3 linked regions of the Tamandua tetradactyla genome follow. Each later gene encodes a partner of the first gene's protein in a complex. Links are inferred from orthologs where the notes say so. Each region holds a gene or a part of one and is shown in the gene's direction. Other genes may lie near its edges. The genes, in order: SIN3A, SUDS3 and SAP25.

What was found.
Region 2: the proteins of SIN3A (region 1) and SUDS3 are in contact, whole or in part, in an NMR structure (PDB 2N2H), measured with the Mus musculus proteins. The link is inferred for Tamandua tetradactyla from reciprocal best matches to the Homo sapiens genes SIN3A and SUDS3. Residues at the interface, in NP_001103821.1 of Mus musculus: Glu616, Glu619, Leu620, Val623, Arg672, Ile673, Tyr674, Ala675, Lys677, Asp680, Ile681, Ile691, Ala692, Ile695, Val696, Arg699, Met702, Lys703, Glu706, Trp707, Glu709, Ala710, Phe714; in NP_848737.3 of Mus musculus: Ala205, Leu207, Asn208, Tyr209, Leu210, Leu211, Gln215, Ile216, Glu218, Asp219, Leu220, Thr222, Leu223, Leu226.
Region 3: the proteins of SIN3A (region 1) and SAP25 are in contact, whole or in part, in an NMR structure (PDB 2RMS), measured with the Mus musculus proteins. The link is inferred for Tamandua tetradactyla from reciprocal best matches to the Homo sapiens genes SIN3A and SAP25. Residues at the interface, in NP_001103821.1 of Mus musculus: Leu121, Lys122, Val123, Ala126, Leu127, Leu130, Tyr144, Phe147, Leu148, Met151, Lys152, Phe154, Lys155, Thr161, Val164, Phe182, Phe185, Leu186, Pro187; in NP_001075431.2 of Mus musculus: Ala208, Glu209, Ile211, Ala212, Leu213, Ala214, Gly215, Leu216, Leu217, Gln218, Met219, Ser220, Glu223.

The regions. Positions count from the first base shown.
Region 1 is NC_135338.1:66,487,907-66,495,572, forward strand, and holds the start of SIN3A (paired amphipathic helix protein Sin3a), read left to right. Parts: upstream 1-4,574; 5' UTR 4,575-4,645; intron 4,646-5,710; exon of another isoform or gene 5,711-6,314; coding exon of another isoform or gene 6,315-6,581; intron 6,582-7,039; coding exon of another isoform or gene 7,040-7,279; exon of another isoform or gene 7,280-7,383; intron 7,384-7,666. Other genes in the region: uncharacterized protein LOC143652277, read left to right, coding at 6,315-6,581, 7,040-7,279. UniProt on the Homo sapiens protein: Acts as a transcriptional repressor. Corepressor for REST. Interacts with MXI1 to repress MYC responsive genes and antagonize MYC oncogenic activities. Also interacts with MXD1-MAX heterodimers to repress transcription by tethering SIN3A to DNA.
Region 2 is NC_135331.1:18,679,537-18,687,351, forward strand, and holds the start of SUDS3 (sin3 histone deacetylase corepressor complex component SDS3), read left to right. Parts: upstream 1-4,809; 5' UTR 4,810-4,996; coding exon 4,997-5,138; intron 5,139-7,116; coding exon 7,117-7,186; intron 7,187-7,815.
Region 3 is NC_135349.1:8,677,849-8,683,561, reverse strand, and holds SAP25 (histone deacetylase complex subunit SAP25), read left to right. Parts: upstream 1-4,280; coding exon 4,281-4,343; intron 4,344-4,453; coding exon 4,454-4,604; intron 4,605-4,726; coding exon 4,727-4,824; intron 4,825-4,906; coding exon 4,907-5,200; downstream 5,201-5,713. Other genes in the region: LRCH4 (leucine-rich repeat and calponin homology domain-containing protein 4), read left to right, coding at 1-143, 310-378, 459-586, 690-773, 963-1,048, 1,208-1,345, 1,432-1,509, 1,811-2,000 and 2 more. UniProt on the Homo sapiens protein: Involved in the transcriptional repression mediated by the mSIN3A but not the N-CoR corepressor complex.

The DNA.
Region 1 (7,666 bases):
CAACATTTAGGGTACTGGCCAGGTTGGATTGTCACAGGCTGCTGAGAGAGGGGGGGTGGCATCTTCCCAAACAACATTTGGGAAGATAGGCTCATAAGTGGTCTTCTTGAGGCAGAACTGTCAGAGGGAGGAGACATGAATGGGAGGTAAAGAAGTAGAGACTGAAGTTCTCAGGCTGTCCCCACTTCCACCAACACAAGACCCACCTCTTAATCCTCTAAATAAGATTTCATTTAAAGAAAGAAAACTGCTTAAAAAAAAAAAATCACCAAACAATGATATGCAAAAGGAAGCGCATTGAAAACAAAATGCTAGGTAAACTGGGGGAGCATATAGTTATGGTATCTACATCAGATTAGAACTGGATGGATCTCAGAAGGGTAAACCAACACTTCATTAAGAGGAAGACACTTGAAGGCAGTGAGTGGCGGCCTTGAAACCCACGAAAAAATACATGCCTCCAAGTCTACCCAGGAGTCAGAAATACAGATATGTACAACCTAAGCCAGCTGGTTGCCTGAGAAATGGAGTTTCTTCATATTACAGGGCTGTTGGTCCTTTAGGTCTATGGCTAGGCTCACCACTCAGACTACAACTCCAGGGATTTTTGCATTTGAATGGCCAAGAGAAGTGGGGGTGGGGATGGGATAAAACAGGACAAGATTTGAAAACTCTTGACTGAATGTTAGGCATTGAATTTCACAACACCCCACTGAAGTAGGTAAATTCTAATTCTTAGTTTACAGATAAGAAAATGGAAAAGAGAGTTCAGTGTTAGAATTCTTGCCTACCTTGTGGGAGACCCGGGTTCGAGTCCTAGTCCATGCCCTTCCCAAAACAAGCAAAACTTCAACAAAATGGTGCTGGGATGTTCACATGGAAAAAGAATAAAATGTGTCTCCACCATACACCATACCAAAAAAAATAATCGGAATCTAACGTTCAGTATCTGTAAATGTTCTTAGTTTACAGATAAGAAATGGAAAAGATAAAAGATTTATTAAATCTTCCAGCTAGGAAGTGGCTGAACTGGGATTCTGACCAAGTTCAGACCAAGTATGCTTTTCCTTTGCACCTATAATATGCTTTGGGTTGGGGGTAGGAAACTAGGGGCCTCAGGTGCCCCTTGAATATCTCATTCTAGTAGGTGGTAGTAGCTTTCTAGAGCTGTCAGAAATTCTGTCAGAAGGATACTGACATCGTTTTGACTGTAGTCTAAGGAGCATGGTAGAGTCACTGAAGTGCAGGCCCTATATGTCAATCACCACCTCCCATTAACGGTCTTTGTATGTGCATGTGAAATCGAGATTGTCAGAAGGTGTGATAGTTTTGGGTATATGTGTTGTATGTGCTTTCTTGATGATAATGAACTTTTGGAAAGAACCAGAAATCATTTATCTAGGGACAAGCTGTATTAAGAGTTAGGGAGATGAGGAAGGTGGGGGCATGAGAGGAGAGTTTTGCTCCAGACGTCCCAACCTGGATCATCATGGGCCCCAGCATGCACAGAGACAGCATATGGGGCAATAGAAAAAGCTTAAGCTTTGGGTCCGGACAGACTTTCCTTGGCTATATGGCTACCTGGGCAAGTCAGTCTATTGTACTGAGCCTCAGCTCGCTTATCTGTAAAGTAAGTATGAGAAACCTTAACTCACAAACACCTGTGGAATGTTTCACACAGAAGAGGCCTGGGAATCATAACCTGGCCTCCCAATGTGACTTCTCCAAGGAGGACTGTCACACAGACCCATTCACTGTTTTGTCCTCACTGGTAGGGAAAGGTAGCTGTAACCCTCAAGTGCTGCTGGAGGGACAGTGTCGCCATATAAAATATTCACATTCCCAAACAGGCTGGAACTGGCTGTGCTGTGCAGGCTTCAATGTATTGAATAGATCGCAGGATCTGTTCCAAGGGACCTTCTGTGCCTGACTGCAGTGGGCACTAAAGGGCCGAGGTGAGTGAGGCGGAGAGATTGTCACTGAGGAGCTCATTCTGGGGGCAATGTTCAGGGGTGGTGGTGTACTTACGAGGGCGAGGAGTGTCAGGGAAGCCTGAGTCACTTGAGTGAGGTTAACTTCTAGTTACAAATGCTTCCTTTGTAACTTCATCCACAACAGACCACTTGCTGCCCAAGTTCACAGTAAAATTCTTGGGCCACTGGCCTCTACAGGAGCTCAGAAATTCACTTGTTGCATTAAAGTGCATTTGATCATCGTTTTTGATCCTTATATCAGTCCTGAGAACAGCTGGGTAACGATTGTTATTTTATCTTGCACAGGAAAAGAAGGGGATTCATAGAGAATAAGGTGTTTGCAAGCAAGGGCTCACTGCCATGCCCAGTTTTGGCCTGACCATGGTTTCAAAGGGACTAGGTGGAGACCAGGGGACTAGACGTCTAGGCTAGTGTTCTTTCTGCTCTATCACTCTGCCTACTCACATTGATACAGGTATCTGTTATGCCTTCAGGGAGGGCAGAGCCCCTCAAGAAACAGTAGGAATCTGAGAAGGGGGTTCCTGACTTCTGGGGATCTCAGTTCTGATATAGAGGACTACCATCCCCCCCCATTATACAAGGAAGAAATTGAGACCCAAGGGAAGAGGGGACTTGCCCAAGGATATGCCACAAATTACTGACCATGCTAGTTCTATAGTAATCTGGAACTCAGATTACCCAAATGCCAGCCTCAAGCTTTTCTACAACTTCACACAGCAGGTCACTTCCCTCCACTACCTACACTGAATCAAGTCACTGAAGACATCCCTTTAATCTTTTCCAAACACATCTCTCTCTCTCTCTCATTTTTATTCTTCTCTCTTCCTACTCTCCTTGCCCTTAGCTCATGTTCTTGCATCTCACCATTACTATGGGGACAGCTTAACAGGTGGTAGGCTTGCATTTTGCCTACAGGCCTCCAAGCCCACTTCATCTACACGAATTTCTTTTCCCCTCTGTCTATAGGTGGTTAGGGCTGCCTCAATCAACAAGTCTTTCTTGCTCATTTATTGTGTGTCCCAGTCCCTGGCTCAATTTTGTCAGGTACAGATGTGTGGGTTGGCCCCTGAGTCCCAGGAACACTTTTTGGTTGGGAGTTACGACAAATAGCAAATGATGCAGGGAAGACTGTGAGTCAGGGTTTTTACTTGACGGCTGCTGAAGATAGGGGAGGCTTCCTGCATTGGGTGGATGGGGGAGAGAAAGGGTAGAGTGGGGGAGAGAAGCCTTCTCTTGGTCCCCTACTCTACCCTTCCCACCACAAGATGCACCTCTGTATTCTGGAAGCCCAGTTTTACAGTAGCCTGGTGCCTGGACTTGCTGGCTTTAGGCACACGTCACTCAGCCTAACCTCAGAACCCATGCAGCTGCCAGGATGTTGAACATCTTAGACCAGAGTTTTGGGCCTGTGGTCCTCTGATCCTGCTCAGAAACATTCAGCTATGCAAGTCCAAGAATGTTAACCATGTATTAAAAGCCTTTTTCTGTTTAGTCTCCTCTTTCCAATCCTACTTTACATCACTACGCCACCCATACACTTCATGTATGGGGGGTGGGGGTGGAAATGAGACTACAAAAACAACCTCTAAGAGCCCTTTCCTCACTCAGAGCCTCAGGTGTGTGTATGGGAAGTTTGCCACTAAAGACACAGGGCAGGTAGAAAGAAGTGCTCATTTGGGAAGGGAGGTGGGTCACCCCAGGTAGAATCTGGAGACTGGAATGTGGGTTGGAGCTGAATCAATGGGATAATTGAGGGGATGGAGAAGGGGAAAAGCCAAGATATGAAGATTGGGTGTTCAGTGCAAAGCCTAGGACCTGGCAATATTATGGAAATCAAGCTTCACTCTCAGACCCTTTGTACCCTTTGCTGAAAATGACACACGCTCTCTGCCCTCCATTTCTGTCTGATAAATTTTCAAGATCTAATTTGAATGCCGCCTCCTTCATGAGGCCTTTCCCAATTTTCCTTCAGCTAGAACAAATCTCCCTTCTCTTAGGTCCTATATATTTCTTTGTATATATTCTTGCCTTGCCTACCTCTTTCTGTATCATCTCTTCGGCTGGATCGGGAGCCCTCAGAGGGCAAGGATCATCTCATCCAGTCTCTCAAAGCGCACTCAGCAACGGGTGCGGTATGACTGTGCCTGCTTCATCTACGTAGTTGCTCGCTCAGACAAGTGCCTGTCGTCCTGGACGCAGGGCTTCCTACCTGTATCACTAATCTTCAGGCACCTAAGAGAGCGGAGTAGCGGCGGCTAGTTCCAGCGAGGTGCTAGGGCGACCTTACCAGCCTCTCTGCCTGCTCCGAACGGGGTGTGTTTTGTGAAGATAGTGGCAGTAGGGTAGCCAGTTACTTCCTCCGAGTACACCCTGCGCAGATCCCCGAGTCTTAGGAGGCCTCCCTTTGGTCCGAGGGCCTCCAGTAGCTCGAGACGGCAGTACTGAAGAGATAGGGGCCTCTGCAACGGATACGCCTCCCACTCGCAGCTACTTTATTTATTTTATTTTTTTGGAGGGAGGAGGCGTGCAATGAGGGGGGAAAGGCGGGGCGAGATGAGGAGGAGGGACCAGGATGACTGACGTGAGGCCCGGGGAGCCAATGGCCCGTGGGGGGCGTTCCCCCATTCAGGACTCCTCGCCTGGTTCGGAAGGTATGTTTAACAGCTGCTTTTAATTTGGTCCCCCCAATTTCTGGTGTTTGGGGGGCTGGTTCGCCGGTCTTTTGCTTTGGCTGGGCCGCCTCAGTGCGGGCGCCGCGGGCAGGGGTCCGAACTGAAGGGGAAGGCTCGGAGTCCGGCGGCCGAGGGAGACAAGCGGCAGGCCAGGAAGGAGAGCTCTTGGCGCCGCCTGCTAGCCAGTGTGTGTGTTTCCAAGCCGGGCCGGAGCCGTGGGGAGGGGGTCGGCCGGGCCCGGGCTCGCCCGGGCGCCAGCCGCGCTGCCTAGTTTATTTCATCGAGCAGCCGGTTTGGGTAGGTTTTGGCGGCGGACTGGGTAGGGGAGGGCAGGGAGAGATCTCCCGCTACTGAAATTCGTTTTTAAGAACAAAATTATTGTAAAGAAGAGAAAAGGAGACGATTCAATACACCAACTGGAACCCGGCCCGGGTTGCGGCGTGCGGGATTGCAGGGGGCGGCGGCCGGAGACCCGCCGGTCAGGCCCACCCAACCCGCAGCGCCCGGAGTTGGCCGAGGGCTGGAGTTAGCGAGCGAGCAGGGGCTGGCGGCTCTTCCCGCTGACCACGCTGGGCGAGCGCGGCAGCCTCCCCAAGGGTTTTGTTTCTGCCTGCGAACTTCTCCGAGGGGGCGGTGAGCGCGGTCCCGAGAGGCGCGGGCGCAGTGGGCCCACGGTTGTTAGGGACTCTGGGGGCGGGGGTAATGCCGGATTTGCGGGAGGGGCGGCTGGAGGCGGAAGAGGCCCCGGAAAGCTTCCTGCGTCTCGGCACTGGCTCCGCGCGCGCTTCGGAGCGTCTCGAACTCCTGTGCCGCGGCAGTAGAGCCACCGTTCGTCGCTGTAACTCGCCAAGATCGAAGCCCCATGGACCTCGGCCTGGGGGTGTGGAAACCTGCAGGAACTCGGCGGCTTCAACCCGCGGCCCCAGCTGATCCCTTTGCAAACATGGAGCTGCCTCCTTCCCCGCCCACCCCGCGGTGGCGGCGGCGGCAGCGGCAGCAGCTCCCTTCCTCTTCCACGGCAGTGCCGCTGCCAGGATCCCCCTTTCCGCGAGGTGCCTCTGCTGGCCGCTTGGACTCAGATGGGGCGGGGGCGCGGACGTGTGCGCGCGCCCACGAGGGGGTGGCCTGAAAGGGGCAGTGAAGGTCGGAAACAGTGAAAACAGTCTCCACGCTAGGAATCGGGAAAAGGAAATGCATCAGAGGGCGGGGAGGGGCGCGGGGGGCGCGCCTGTCAGCTGGAATGGAGGCCGCTGTCGGGGAGGCGGGGCGCCGGCATGAACCGCGGGGTTCCAACGGAGCGTGGAGGCTAGAGGCGTGGAGGGCCGGACCCGCGGAATGTCGGGGCTGCCAGTGCCTCCACTCTTTGGCCCATCCTATTTACTCTCTACTCTGGTGGTGGGTTGTGCAACCCGCATAGAGGGGAGCTGAGAGGTGGGGCGGTCCCCCAGCTTCCACCCACCTCCGGCTCCTCCAGAGGCTCCGCCTCCTCTTGTCTTCCACTGGTTGGGGCGAGAATCCCTTTTCTCCTTTTCGGTTTTCGATTGGATGACATTCTCCGAGCTCCGCCTATCGGGAGGCCGGGCTGGAGTTTAAGTTGCTAGGATTTTTTTCCGTAAAGAGCGGAGGGAGGATTTGGGCGGCTGGCGTAATGCGTAAGGTCCCGCCCCCATTTCTGATTGGTGGAGCAAATAGCCCCACCTCCTCCGGCGGAGCGGGATCGAAGGGGGAAGTCAACCCCTGTTCCCCGCCCCCTCCCTTCGCTGGTGTGCGCGCTCAGCACATGTGTGAGGCCCGCCTTGCTCCTTCGAATTGCCCTCCCGCCCGGAAGTCCCTCGGCGCCCTTGGCGAGGGAGGGCAGGGAGCGGAGAAGGCGCACAAAGATTCCTCCAAGACTCGCGATCGGATAGCCTTCGGGGTAAAGGATTTGAAGGATTTAGCTCCGGAAGTTCTGCAGGGGTTGAGAGGAGGGGGTGAAATCTGCTCTTGTTGGCCGGGGGCTAGTTTTAAAGTTCTGACCTTACAGCCTGGCTACTTCTGTGCACTAGCGGCCACTTGACTTTCCAGAGAGTCCCCTGATTTTAAGCTTGAGAACGCTGGGACACTGGCAGTGTCTTTGCTTACCAAGGCAACGCAGGGTTGGCTGGGAGCCTTAGGTATGATCCAGGCAGCACGCCCTATGTGGGCAGGGGAAGCCGAGGGAGGCCCAAGGCTGGTTCACCTTTGTAGTGGTTGTCGATGCAACTGGGAGCACAGCGGGGCACCCATTCCGGGGAGGGGGTTCGGGGGGTCGGGAATCGGCCCCAGAGTTATAGGCAGTATTCGGTCCGAGAGGTTTTGCCCGGGTTCGCTTTCGTCTGTTTGACTTATTTTTAGAGCTCCGTCCCGGGCAGGTCTTGGCTTCCAGCAAGGACGCTCCCACCTGTCGGCTACTCATGGAGTTCGAAGTTCGTTGCCATGGCCTCGCGGCTCCAAGCCATCCTTGGAGTCAGGCCCACTAATTGGCAGCGCAAGTTCCTGGCCGTCTCCACTATATTGCAGAGAGGACTTAGGAGCGGGTTTACCCGGCTGCCTATGGGAAGTAACATTTTTTACTGGAGTGAGCGGGAACTCTAATCCCGCCCCCTCTCCCGGCGCTGCGAGAGCGCCCCCCAAACCACGGTCAGCGTCAGTTCTCGGCCCTGTTTGGTGATTAAATAAAAGCAACCAAGGTATTGCAAGCACTTTGTCTCCCTGTGTGTTCGGGGCACAGAAAGGACCTAGGACACTGCAGTTAATACTCTTTACCCAAAGAAGAGAACCATAGTTTTTATTACCCGCAACTCTAGGATATTTATCCTCTCTCTTAAGAGTATACATATACTCAAAACTCATTTTTGCCATGGTCTGTTTTGCTCCTTTCCTCTCCGCCAGTTCCTCGACCCTGAGGATTTCTCCAGATCGACTTCGGAGATCGTGAGTGCTTTAGGCCTCATGCTCCGCCTTCAGGAGGCTTGCCTGGGC
Region 2 (7,815 bases), on another chromosome or scaffold:
ATAAGAAAACTTATTGGAAAGTGCTGTTATTTTAGTTTCCCCAATGCCTCTTTAAAAAATTTAGTTCGATCTTTCAACTATCTTCCACACATCAAAGTTAAGCAATCAAAATTCCCTATTTATAGTTTACTGTTTCTTTAAACTTGCATCTTAAACATTGATACTGAGGTGCTGCCAAATCAGAACAAATTTCTTAGCTTCTTATTCAGCTAAAATGAAAAAAAAAAAAAAAAAAAACAGGTCAGGAAAATATCTGCCTCTCTCAAAAGAAATATTAGAATTAATCCAAAACATGGGTTTCCAAAAGGATCCCTTTCCCCTTCAACTTTTTGTGGTAGGTTACAGAAGCTCCCTCCAACTTTTCACATTCAGATTAAGCTATCAAGGTCAGGTAGCCCCTCACTTTCCAGGCATCCATCCACACCAAGGGAGATTAGTGAGAAAAGGTCAGGGGTGCCTCTGTCTTGACCTTTGCAAGATGTTGGTGTTTCTACCAGACCCTCCGGCCGGTGCGTTCTACTTAGGAGATGTTTCATTACATAATCCCTATTCCAGAGTCACCCCGACTCAAGCTATCCCAGTCGCGCACACGACGCTCAGAAAGGTCCCGTCCCGTGGATTTCAGACCCTGGGAGCATCACCGTCTCCACGACTCTGCCCCAGCTGTCGGCCCCAACTCGCAGTCACAGCGACCCGGACCCAGGACCCCAACCGCAGCGGTGGGCTTGGGGGTGGTTTGAACAACTCCGTGGGCGCGATCCTTCTCAGGCTCCCTCGCGACTCAGACGCAAGGCTGGCAGAGCGCGGGATCCCGCCGACCTGGAACCAGCGTCCCTCTCAGGGTTCCTTGCCTCAACTCGCACTCGCGAGGTCCCCTCCCCTCGGACACTCTCGGGATCCCTTCTCTTTAGACCCTCTGTCTCCCTTTTTCGGGGTCCCCTCCCCGCAGACCCTCCGTCCTGGCCCCACTCGGGGTCTTCTCCCCGCGGACCCTCTGTCCTGGCCCCTCTCGGGGTCCCCTTCCCGCAACCCTCTGACCTGGCGCCACTCGGGCTCCCCTCTTTTCAGTTCCTCTGTCCCGGCCCCTCTCGGGGTCTCCTCTCTTCAGTCCGAACTGTCAAATCCGCTCCCGAACCTCCCCTCGCCCGGTCGTCGCCGACCTCACTCCGCGCAGGGTCCCCTCGCCTCGGCTCACGCTGTCACCGCCCCGCGCCCGGTGCTCTCACCTCAGACCTGCTGTCACCGCCCCCGGGCCCGGCGTCGCCGCCGCCGCTTCCTCTCTCACACTTGTTCCCGAGTCGCTCTTCTACGGGTTGTCCCCTGGAAGACTCCCGAGTCCGCTGCTGAGTGCCGAGTCCAGCCGCCCAGAACCTCCGCCCGCGGTCCCTGCGTTGCGTCCCACTCTCGAACGCGGGACCCCGCCGCCTCCGGGCACCCCACGGACCCTCCCGCGACCGCCGCTGCTGCTGTCCGAGGTGCGGCTCCTGCCAGGGGTGGCCAATCGCACCCGACTGCGCCGAGCGCGCTCCGCCCCACCCTCACCGACCGACCGCCCCCACCCCTAGACCACGCCCCCACCCGGCTCCGATAGGCTCTCTACTGACCTTCCCTGATCGAGGGGCACAGGGCTGAGGCCGTTTATAGGTACTTGATTGGAGATGCCTAGGAAACCGAGCGGTCGATGGCGCCTTAGGATTGGCGGAATTCACTATGCGGGTGGGGCTGGGCGAGGTTTCCTCAGACGCGGAAGACCTTGCAACTTCAGTTATCCACGGGCCCTCCAGGGGTGCGGTCATCCCTGTTTGCGCCAACCCGTGGGTCAAAGTTCATGGCACTTCTCCCTGCGCCTTAACCTTTTCTGGGAAACGCCTAGAGGCCAAGGCACTCTGGGACCCTGGAAGGATATAAGAGCCTTTGGGGAGGTCCCCATTCTCCAAGACCTTGCACAGGACTTGTAAATTTCCTGGATTTAAATTCTCCCAGGACTTGTCCATTTCCTGAATTTAAGTCCTTTGTACATCTCTAACAATGCTCTTCTTGGCATTGTGTTCAGCTAACATCAATTTAATATTGCTGGGGAAAATCCCTATATTTATACTAGATACATGCTTTGCAAAACAGCATTCAACCCTGGCGGGGCTCATTTTGATAGGTATAAGAACAAAACTTTATAGAGATACTCAGTTGCTGGATTTTGAACTTCTGGTATCATCATTATGACTGAAAAAACAGGAACTCCTGGGGAAACCGTTAGCTTCAAGCAAGCCTATTCAACATTCACAGAGCCATTCCGTTTTGTTCCGTGTAAACTAATCACCAAATTTTAACAAGCTTTGACCCCAAGTGCAATCTGGGATAAGCAAAGACCTATCTTGATTGAAGCTGAAAGGTAATGTCTTCCAGGGGTGAAAGTACATGTTACTCAGAGTTACTCCTTGTATTTTTGTGAAACTGGGTATGCTGAGGAAATCAATACTAGAAAACTGTTATGTTTATTCCTAACCCCCAAAATAAACTTAAGGACTTTGGCAGTTTGGCATTTTATGAAGAAATTATTTCATTTCAGAAACACATTTTAATCATAAGTGTTGTCAAATGTATACAGGCCTTAGCCCTCAGAACTCTAAGTTTTTTTTAAACTCCTGCTATACAATTTAAGTAGGTGTTCTAAACCGTATACATACTTTTTCCTTACTGTTTTAAAATCATACCCCACTCCAATTACAGTGCTCCTCTTTAAAGTTTAAGTTTGGGAGTTAGAGTATGCAGAGGTTTGAAGGCACAAACATTCTGGAATTGGGGTTTGCAGGACTACATTTAAGTTGGAAGTAATAGGAGCAGAGTGGCTGAGCACTATTTTGGGAAGAGATTTCAAGGTGGTAGAACTTAGTTTTGAGGGAAATTGCTTTTTACACACCTAGAGAAATTGTCCATAACCTTTGTATTAAGTAACTATAAAGAGTGAGTAAGATCAAAGCCACAAGTGAATTTTTTTGTTGTTCTCTAGGTCCCCTTTCAATAAAAGGCATCTTTTACTTAAAAGCTTATTCTAACAATTCTGCATTAGGAAATATGGACAGAAGACAAGAGGATAAGTTTTCACCACTCAAGTGTTCAGTTGTATCTATTCATTAAATGAAAGAAATGCATGACATCAGCGGATGTTATCTGCAATCAGTTAGATGGAAATAGAAATAAAATATAAGCAAGACAAAAACTCAAGTGTCTAGAAAGGAGAACAATTAGTGATAAAATCAGTTTTTTTTTAATGCATTATATCAATGGACTCTAATTTCTAAAATGTTGTTGGTGCTTTTTTTGGTTTATAATTATTGGTACTAATAGGGACTCAAGTTCAATAGATAACTACAAATAATTTGGATGTAATCTAACAAAGCAAAGAAAATAGCTTCAGCCTTTGTACAACAGACAGGAATCTGAAATCCTAGTTTAAATATAGATGGTAGACCTACAGTGCATTCTGAGAATAACTCTTATTTAAAAAGAACTTCAGAAGATCCCTGAGACCAAAAAACCTCTTGGAAAGACATCACAGCATTCCATTCTGTAAATACATGAGTTTCGTTGGGAGGAAAAAATCCCTTAAAAATAGAGCCAAGATTTCAAAACAAGGTAGGAAATAAAGATTTTTTTTCTTTATGAGAATAAAGTTTTGTAATTTTAAGAGACTTTGAGTCCATTCAGAGATAAATCTGATTACAAGGGATCTAAGAATCAGAATCGTAGATTCCACTCTGGCTCGTACATCTGTGTTCAACTTTACTATTTTTTAATTACTTTTTCTATGAAGACACGGATGCAAAATAGAGTGGGAATATTTATATTACTTTGGACAAACCATTGAACATTTCTGGCCCTTTTCCTTATCGTGCTGCCACAATTAAACCGCACTGCTCTTGACAACATGTATACCCAAAACTTGTACCTTAACCAAAACTTAAAACACTGTGCCCCCTTTTACTGAGTAGAAATCACAAATTAATTTATCTAGGTATTTGGGTCTGTATGCAAGGAACTCCACTTGCTCAGATGAGAGTTGGTTACCAAATTACTGAACTGGGAAAAATAATCTTTTAAAAATTAATACTCGAGGAATTATGAGACAGATTTACTGTTGAAGGAAGGCTTGGATCTGGAAGTAGCTGGATGCTACTACTTTTTTTTTAGGCAAGTGACATCTCTTTTCTCATCTGTAAAATCGGGATAACATTTTATTCAGCAAACTTATACCAACAGACTCGGACGGACTGAGAAAAATACCGTTTTGCTGATCCCAGGACCGAGCAACAGAAAATTTATCTTTTAGTTTTTAATAAACTCCAATTAGGGGAGGAGTCAGGGCTCTTTTTCTTTTCTGGATGTTCACTCAAACTCTGGATAGCTACATTTTCTCAACTTATAAAGGGGACGGTTCATATCGTTCATACGGTTCACCTGCTTAAATTAAAGAAAAGACCACCTCACCTGCCTCAAACCCCTCATACCCGCCGCTCTCAGGTCGCTAACTTCTCGCTCTACTTTTGGCTCCAGGCGCCGCCTGGCGGCTGTTTCCGGTGTCGCCCCTAAGCTTCGGGGTCCTGGCCTCAGCTAGACCTGCCCGTAGATTTGCCTAACGCTAGAGCTCATGTCTCCGCCCCTTTCCACCATTCCGTCGACTATTTTTAGACGGCAATGAAGGGACTGAGGTTTAGGCGAACGGAACGTCGCGGAACCTGGCGGCCTTTCCTCTCCCTCAAGGATGGAGGAATCAGGCGGTCCTCGGGCAGCTCGCGACCCGGAAGTCGCCGCCGGCGCGAGGACCCCGTTGCCCAGTGCGGGCGCGTGGGGCGGAGCTCGGCGGAAACAAGGAAGGGGTCGCCGGGGCTCCCGCTCTTCGGGGTGGCGGCTCCGTCGGGCTCTGCCAGGAGGAAGTCAAGTCCCCAGCGTGGGTGGCCTCGATCTCCCGGTGGCACGCTCTGCTGCGGTCGGAGGTGATATGAGTGCCGCGGGGCTGTTGGTTCCGGCCCCGGCCCCGGCTGGAGCGCCGCCGGCGCCTGAGTACTGTCCAGAGGAGGATGAAGAGCTGGAGAGTGCGGAGGACGACGAACGCAGTTTCCGGGGTCGTGACTCGGATGAAGGTGCGTCTTTTTGACCGCTGGCAGCCCTGGGCCGGGGTGGAGCTGCTGGGGAAGGGGTTGGACTGGCTGGGAGTGGGACGGGGCGGGGCGACTTCTAGAGCGTGGGGCCCGTTGGAGGGGCATCTGGGAGAAGCGGGGTCCTGGGAAGTTATCACTAGTCCCTCTGGGGAAGGAGGGAAGCCCTGGCTGTGTACGTTGTACCCTACTGTTATGGGGAGAAGGGACTTAAGGAGATATTCATAGAGCTGGAGGTCCCTTTAAGATTCTGCTCCCTCCCCCACAACCCAACCGTCCGGATTGAGCCTCTGGTCTTCGTTGGATGGAATAGGAAAACCATCCTTTGAGTGCTGTGAATCCCTGTCCTTTTAGTTCTGGAGAAAGTCAGAGCAAAGCTCTGTTTGCCCTCACCCCCGACCCCACCAGAATATGATTAAGTCAGTCCCACTTTGGACAGCACAGTACAAGATTTGGAATGCAGAGTGGTTTAAAGAAGGCTTAGTGGAATCAGCCAGATCTAGGTTTAAATTTGTGTCTGTAACTTAACCCAACTTTGTCATCTTAGAAAACTTCCTTAAGCTTCTGAGCCTCATTTCCCCAACTTTATGGGGTGGAAAGGTAGTACCTTTTTCTTAGGGTAGTTGAGAGAATTAAATGAAAAAATGTGTATGAAGTACTTGGCCCAATTTCCGGTATTCAGTAAGTGTCTTTTTCACCACTGAAGAAACAGGCACAGGAAGAGGTAGAGATTTGCTTAATGGTGCCCAGGTGTGTTTTCATTTCCATTCCCTTTATATTATGTCTTACTGCTTCTCAGAGCATTGCGTTTCAGGCTGGGCTTTACATTTTGGTAAGTGTGAGGAGTACTGTTTTAGAGGAATTGAGGAAGGAGCTGGCTAGAGGGAGAGAAAGGTTAAGAAGCATAGGACACGGGAGAAGAAAGAGGAGATAGAGAGGAACCAATATATGAGTGGAGTATTCCAGTTCATTTTATTGGCTGTCTGGAATAAGGAGCCTGTCTTATTCATTTCAGTCCTCGAAATAATGAGCACTTGATTGGCTGGCACATACAGGAACTCAGTGAAGCTCTGTTAGCTGAAGGAGGGGAGAAGGGTTTGTGGAAAATTGGGTCTGCAACAGCATTTCTCAGAAGGCAACTATATATGCAGACAAAGTTGAGCCAACTAATTGCATTGATAACTTTGAATCTTTGGAGATGATCTACTTTAAAATTCTCGCAAGAAATGCTACTTTGAGGACATGCCACACTGGATTTAATTGGGGCCTGCTGGGTTAAAACTCATCTTTCAACCCTTTGAATATGAATCACTTACATTGTTTTTAATGCCCACGAGGGGGTGCTGTGAAGCCAAAATAGATTTACTTCCTGCAGTAGGGTTCTTGAAATTGTGTAGACACTCCAGCGCTTTGCTTATTTAAGGATAGTGTATAAAGTGTTTTGAAACAGTTTCTGTTTGATCATCTTGCCTCCCTCCTCTTCTCCATTAGTTGTAACTTTGAAAATATTTGTTATTAGAGTTGTATTTCTTGTTTCTTTTTCTCCTGTTTCATCTCCTATCTGATATGAAATTTGCTAAGGGTTCAATTTAGAGTAGTGAGCAGGGCTTGACTACCTGTACTTTCCAGACTTCCACCCATGTCTCCTTTTCCTGAACTGCCAGCTTTTTTGTTTCTGCAGAAGTCACAGCCTTGACCATGAGTGCCTAGTCTGATACCCCTGTTTTCTGGTTGCACTTGAAATAAGGGCAAGCTCTTTGCATTAATCTGGCTGTGTATAATTTGGCAATGCCATTTTCTTTTCTGAAATAACTGTACTTAATGTTTTCCACTGATGGTGTCACACTGGCCAGTTTTGAGAAGAAATTCATTTTACAGAAGTTTATTGCATGCGTTTGCTGTGACGCGATGCCGAGTATATGAATATGATTTTAACTGACTTTTCCTCCCTAATTTTACTCAGACACAGAGGATGCTAGTGAGACTGACCTCGCAAAGCATGATGAAGATGACTATGTAGAAATGAAGGAACAGTGAGTAACACAAGCTCTTTCATGATTGTTTTTATATTATTTTTCTGGAATACAGAATTAGCAGGAAAAATATAGTGGCCTTGTATGTGTGGTTTTGACTATAATGCTTCCAAAGACTGTGTGTATGTGTGCATTTTCTTCTTTTAAATTGGTTGTATTTAATCAGTCTGTATTTAGATGAAACTTGTTCTTTTTTTCTTCCTATATCAAAAATCCATGATGGGTAGACTAGAAAGAACCTAGAGGCAAATGATCACAGGGAAGTAATCCCATAATACAGGAGAGTACCTTTTACTACTTCCTCTTTTATTTAAGATGTGAAAACCAGTGTTTGGAAACTCGCGTCATCCAGCAGCCAGGTTCTAAGATGGTCATGAACTCACTGAGCACTGACTACCTGTTAGGCAAGGTTCTGGATGCTTTGAGAGCTCAGGTAACTGGGACTGGAAACTAGGGACTCCTGACTCCTCCGATGCTCTTTCCACTTGAACACACGTCCACCCAAACCTTTTCATCACCTTCAGACAGAGCCCCAACTGAACGTGCCCAGATAGACTAAAATTCTATTATGTTTTAAAGAACTTGAAAAAAAATAGCTTCCTTATGCTTAAAATTTACTGACTTTTTAT
Region 3 (5,713 bases), on another chromosome or scaffold:
CGGGAGGAGCCAGCAGGAGAGGAGCGTCGTCGTCCAGATACCCTGCAGTTGTGGCAGGAACGGGAGCGGCGGCAGCAGCAGCAGCAGCAGCAGAGTGGAGTGTGGGGGGTCCTCAGGAAGGACAGCTATGGGCACAAGGATAGGTATGGGCACAGGGTCAGGGCTGGGACTGTTGCCCTGGAAGTGAATGCTTCTGGAGCTGGGCACACCCCCTCTTAGAGCCACTCTGGGTGGCTCCTGCCTGCTCTGCCCCTCAGGGTTGATGTTCCCCTGGTCCTGATAATTCCACATCCCTTCTTCTCTTTCTAGTTTTCTGAAGCTGGGGATCAGGACCCCTGGGGGAGGTGCTCCTGCCCTGTCTACTCAGGCCACAAAGAAGTATGTCTCCTCCCAGTCTGTTCCCTGCTCACCCTCCTCTTGACCATCCCACATAATTCCCTTTCTGTCTCTCTCCTCAGTGGTGCACTTAAGTCTAGTGCCACCCAACCTGGACCTGCAGGGGGGCAGGGAGCCCCTGTCTCTGCCCCCACCACCCAGGAGCCCCTTCCTCTAGCAGGACCAGGTGGGACAGAGACTTTGGAAAGAGGTGGGGCCCCGTGTAGTTGAGGGATTGGTTGGGACCTGGTGGCTTGAGGGAAAGTGGGACACTGAGGGATGTCTCTCTCACTTTCCCTGTTACCTGGCTCTAGCAACACCACCTGTACCCCGGCCACTTGGCTCCATTCAGCGACCAAACAGCTTCCTCTTCCGTTCTTCCTCTCAGACCAGCTCAGGTGGGTCAACAGAGGCTCACCAGGCTTTTGTCACTGCTTCTGGCCTCAGAGGTCTCTGGGTTTATTGTCCTTTTGTGTTGAAAACCCCACGAGCAGAGACGTAGAGATAGGTGCCAGACCAGCAGGACCCAACTACAAAGTTGACACTGGAGTATGGAGACAGCCCACATGCCCTCTTTCTTTGCCTAGGCCCTTCCTCACCAGACTCTGTCCCGAGACCTCGGCAGTCCCCCCAGGTTCTGGATGAGAAGGAATTAATGGCCCAACTGCGCCAGGTAAGAAGAAGGATCTGCATGGCTCCTCCTTGAGTTCCCTGTCCTTGGAACTCAGGCCTCCCTTGATACCCGCTTGCCCTCCCCCATCCCAGTACTTCCCCTGAGGCTGGCAAGGTAGGGCAGACCTCTGAGCTAACCCCAAGTTCCCCTTACCCCCAGGTCCTTGAGTCCCGGCTGCAGCGGCCCCTGCCTGAGGACCTGGCAGAAGCTCTGGCAAGTGGGGTCATTCTGTGCCAGCTGGTCAACCAGCTCCGGCCCCGGTCTGTGCCCTTCATCCATGTGCCCTCACCTGCTGTGGTCAGTTGGGCTAAGGGAGGAAATAGGGCATGGGGCAGGAGACTTTTGTGGCATCTCCCTGATCCTCTTATCTCCTTCCCCTCCAGCCAAAACTCAGTGTCCTCAAGTCTCGGAAGAATGTGGAGAGCTTCTTAGAAGCCTGTCGAAAAATGGGGGTACCTGAGGTATGGAAGTTGGGGTGAGGGATGTGGTTCAGGAGCCAGGAGCTGGTCTCTGTTGTAAACAGTGGCTAGACCAGGGCTCAGCTGAGCAGTCGGTGTGGGTGGTGGGGTTCTGCTCGCAGGGGTGTCTCCTCCCCCGCAGGAAGCACACCCTCCCGCCCACCCTGCATGCTCCCTTCCCTGCACGTTCGCATGCTGGAGGTTCTGGTCCAGGCATGTGAGGGGAGGGGTGGGGGTTGCCTTGTTGCTGCTGCTGATGTCTTGTCATCTGTCCTTGTCCATTTGTCCTACTCTCCCTTCCCAGGCTGACCTGTGCTCGCCCTCGGATCTCCTCCAGGGCACTGCCCAAGGGCTGCGAACCACACTGGAGGCTGTGCAGTGGGTAGAGGGCAGTGCCCCCCCACCCCTCTGGCCCCCCTCTGGTCTGGGCGGCTTCGTCCTCTTCTACGTGGCCCTCATGCTGCTGCTCTGTGTCGTCTACACTCGGCTCTTAGGTCTCTAGGGCCCCAAGTCACTCCTCCTCTGGCCCTGGCCCTGGTTCTATTTATAAAAGTCCCACTCAGTTGCCCCTCACCTCACCAGTGGTGCCTTCGGCCCCTACCAAAGACACTAGCTTACCCCTTCCTCCAGATAGTGACCTCAGAGGCCCCACTCTGGTGCCCCCAGACCCTGGGTCCCCAGCCTCTGGCCACCCTCCTGTAGCCCCTCACTGTGCCCCCCCCCCCCATCACTGCTGACGGTGCCTTGGAGCCTTCTGCCCCTGCCCTCCTCTGTTCCCCCAGATTGGGCAGGAGCTTGAATCTTCCCTTTCCATGTTGTTCCCTCCCTCCCTCCCAACCCCTCCTGGCTACTGGGGGGCTAAATTATCTATATTTTGTAGAGAGAACTCTATATTTGTAGGAGATGCAGGGCCCAGCTTGGGCCCCTGCCTCTGTGTATAAACTGTACAGACTGTGGCTGCCTCTGTGTATGTGTGTGTGTGTGTGTATGTGTCTGCTCCTGCTGTGGCCAGGCCACTCCTGGTGTGCCCTCAGGTGCTGCCCTGCCCCAGCATTTCCCTCTGGAAATGACAGGCCTCTCCCCTGAGCAGTGGCCCCTGTGTCATCACTCCTCTCTTAGCTGCCGGCAGCTTCCTTGTATCTCATTTGTCCACGAGCTGTGGGCCCACAGTGTGTGTCCAGGATGCCTCTAGCCTTTGCCCCCCTACCCCTTGGAGGGCCAGCCTCTCTGCCCCTCTGCCCAGGCTTCTTTAGGGACTTTGTTCTTGGATGCCCTTCCTCTGCCAAGGGCAGGGAAGCTGAGTTGGGAAAGTGACAAGGAGTAACTTACCTGGGCCCCTCCCCCCAGGAGGCCCTGTGCCAGCCACATCACATCCTGGAAGAGGAGGGGGCCCCCGGAAGGGGCCTCCCCTACATCGCTGCTGTCGTCCATGCGCTGCTCGAACGGCCTTAGGGGTTGAGGTAGGGGTGCAGGGCTCTGAGGTGGCCCGCCCGGACCCCAGGAACAAGAAGAGATGGACGACCGCCCGGGCCCTGTTCCTGCTAACATGGACGCTGGTGAGGGCAGCCTCGGGCCGGCCCTGTTCCCCGGGCACCCCTCCTTAACCCCTAAGGGTCGGAGGCAGCTCCTGCCCCTCACAGCCTGCCTGCGTGGAGGAAGGTGGCTTGGCCCCGTCGGGAGGGGCTGAGGGTCTGGGACGAAAGGCAGGGCGCCCGTTGTTGTGTCCAGCGCAATAAAGAAGCCAGAAGGCCTTGTTGGCCCTTGGATGTGTGCGTGTCAGAGCCGCTGTTGCCTTCACGACGAGCTTCTGCCGTTGCTTTCTCCTCGCGCCGCCATTTTCCTGCCCTTGGCGGTCACGAGTCTCCTACAGGGCGGAGCCGGGCGGCTGGGACCCCGCGCACCCCCGTCGCTAGGGGGCGCCCGCGGCCGCCTGAGTCCCAGCGGGAGTGCAGGCCACGTGGCCCGGAAATGCACCGTGCGCCGGCGTGGTGCGAGGCTCTCCGGAGGTGGCGGCCCCCGCGGGCTTGCAGGGAGGGCTGGACAGCGACCAACCGGGGCGCAGAGGAGACCTGGGGGCTAGGGAGGGACAAGGCCAGCGGGGGCACGGAAGTGCTGCCCTGCCCTCCCCCAGGCGCGGCATGTTGCCCTGGGCCCTTCCGCGCTGGGGCTCAAGAGAGGAGGCGACACCGGAGGGACGAGACCCCTCAACGGGCAGTGACCAGGGTGATGCCTGGAACTATGGGGAGGAAGATCCGGGAGAGACAGGCTCACCCCCACAGGACAGGTGAGGGTCTCAGCAGGGGAGCATGCGGGTGGACATCCAATTGGGGGCCCATCCGACTGGGGGGCTCTCGATGTCTTAGCCCCGCGCTTTGCATTAGGTTAACAAAGCTTCAATCGTCCATACCAAGGAAAGGGTTGGTGGGGGGTGGGGTTGCCGGCGGTCTGATGGGTCTCCCTGCACCAGGCACCCCTTGGTCCTGCTTCTGAGCTCACGGAAATATCCACACCTGGAGGCGGGAAGGCCGATGCGGGATCGTGTAACTGGACCTTCCCAGTCCCTAAGTCCCTCTTGGAGCTTGAGGGAGCAGGTGAAGCCTGGCAGCTCCCCAGGCCCGGCTGCTGAGGGGTCCCCAGGAAGCCCCGGTAGGTACAAGGCCCTGGTACCTTTAATATCCTTCAAGACCTTCACTGACTCCTGAGCCTATTAATCTCTTAAAGTCCCTCTCCTCCCCCCCACAGTTCCCCTTTCTCCCCAGGTGGCCCCCTCAAGGATGACCCTGCTAGCACCGTGGGACCCCAACTACAAGGCTGAAGTAGGACCTCAGCCGGTGTGGGTGAGTTGGGGACACCTGTGGCCTGGTCTTATGGGTGGAGGGAGAGGTAGCCATGCCTTGGGAAGGCGCCAGATTCCAGGGGTCTTTCCTGCTCCCTCCGCACTCTGCAGGGGGCCAGCTGTGGGTCAGGTGCCTCCTTCTCCAGCCGGACCTTGTGTCATCCATCCTTCTGGCCGCTGTTCGAGGCAGCCTCCGGCAGGGGCCTCAGGCCCCTGGCCCCCACTGGGCATCAGAAGGGAGAGCACGTGCCCAGGGACACAGGTAGGTCCCTGGTTGCCCCAGCGGATGAACATGCTTACTCTGGCTCTCCAGAGGGCAGAACTCACTGGGTGGGCCCCCCAGTGTGGACTCCAGTGCTGCCCTAGCTAGTGTCTGCTCCCCAGGGTTCCTGGTGATGGGCTGTGAAGACGTTTTTTTCTCAGACCCTCTGCTACCCCGTGGGCACCGTATCCCCTTGTACCTGACCGAGGCCCCCCAGCAGGTGAGAGCTCTTCCTGCCCTGGCCTTACCCCAGTTTTCAGACAGAGCCTGGGAGGAGACACTGACTCCTTCTCTTTCCTCAGGTGATGGGCTCCCTGCAGCTGCTGCCCCCACGCCCTGTCATGTCCCCCTGGGTCCTCCCCACCCCATCCCCAAGTTGCTCCACCACGTGGCTCAGTGGGCCTGAGCTGATTGCCCTCACTGGCCTTCTGGAGATGAGCCAGGGGAAGCCGAGAGCCAGCTCCCCGCTGGCCCCCACGCACCTTGCTGGCTCCTCAGGCCCTGTCTCTTGCCACACAGGTCCCAGTGGTGGTCGGAGCAGTTCTCACTGTCCTGACCCATCCCTCCCTCTGACCACGGAGACCCATTCTCCCTAGGCCCCCAGGGGCTGAGTGGGCCCCCACACCCACTACCCACCACCCCAGGCAAACTCTGTTGACAATAAAGCAGCGTTGATTTGCAAAAGACTCCCTGTGGCTGGTGGCCAGAGGCACGGAGGTGTGTGTAGAGTGTGTCTCTCCATCCACCCCTCAAATTCTGCAGTGAGGCAGTGAATCCGTGAACTTAGGTCCCTCCCAGGCCAACCAAGCAGGGCACGTTTAATCATGGTGGATCTCCCAGGCAAAGAGTCTGGGAGTCAGGACTTCATTGCCTCTGCCAGGCCAGGGACAAGGGAGGATTGTATGACCGTGTGACCAGCCCTGGGAGAGGCAAACCAGGAAGTAAGGGGGTGGCATAGCATTCGGGGGCAGGCACAGTGGTAAGACACTTGGTGCTGCCACCCCTTTTATACTGGGTGTGGGTGGGCTCGGTGAGCCAAGCTCTTTGGCTCAGAGGAGACAAAGAAAGCCCTACAAGTATGGGGTGAGGGGACCCCTGGGAGCATGGGC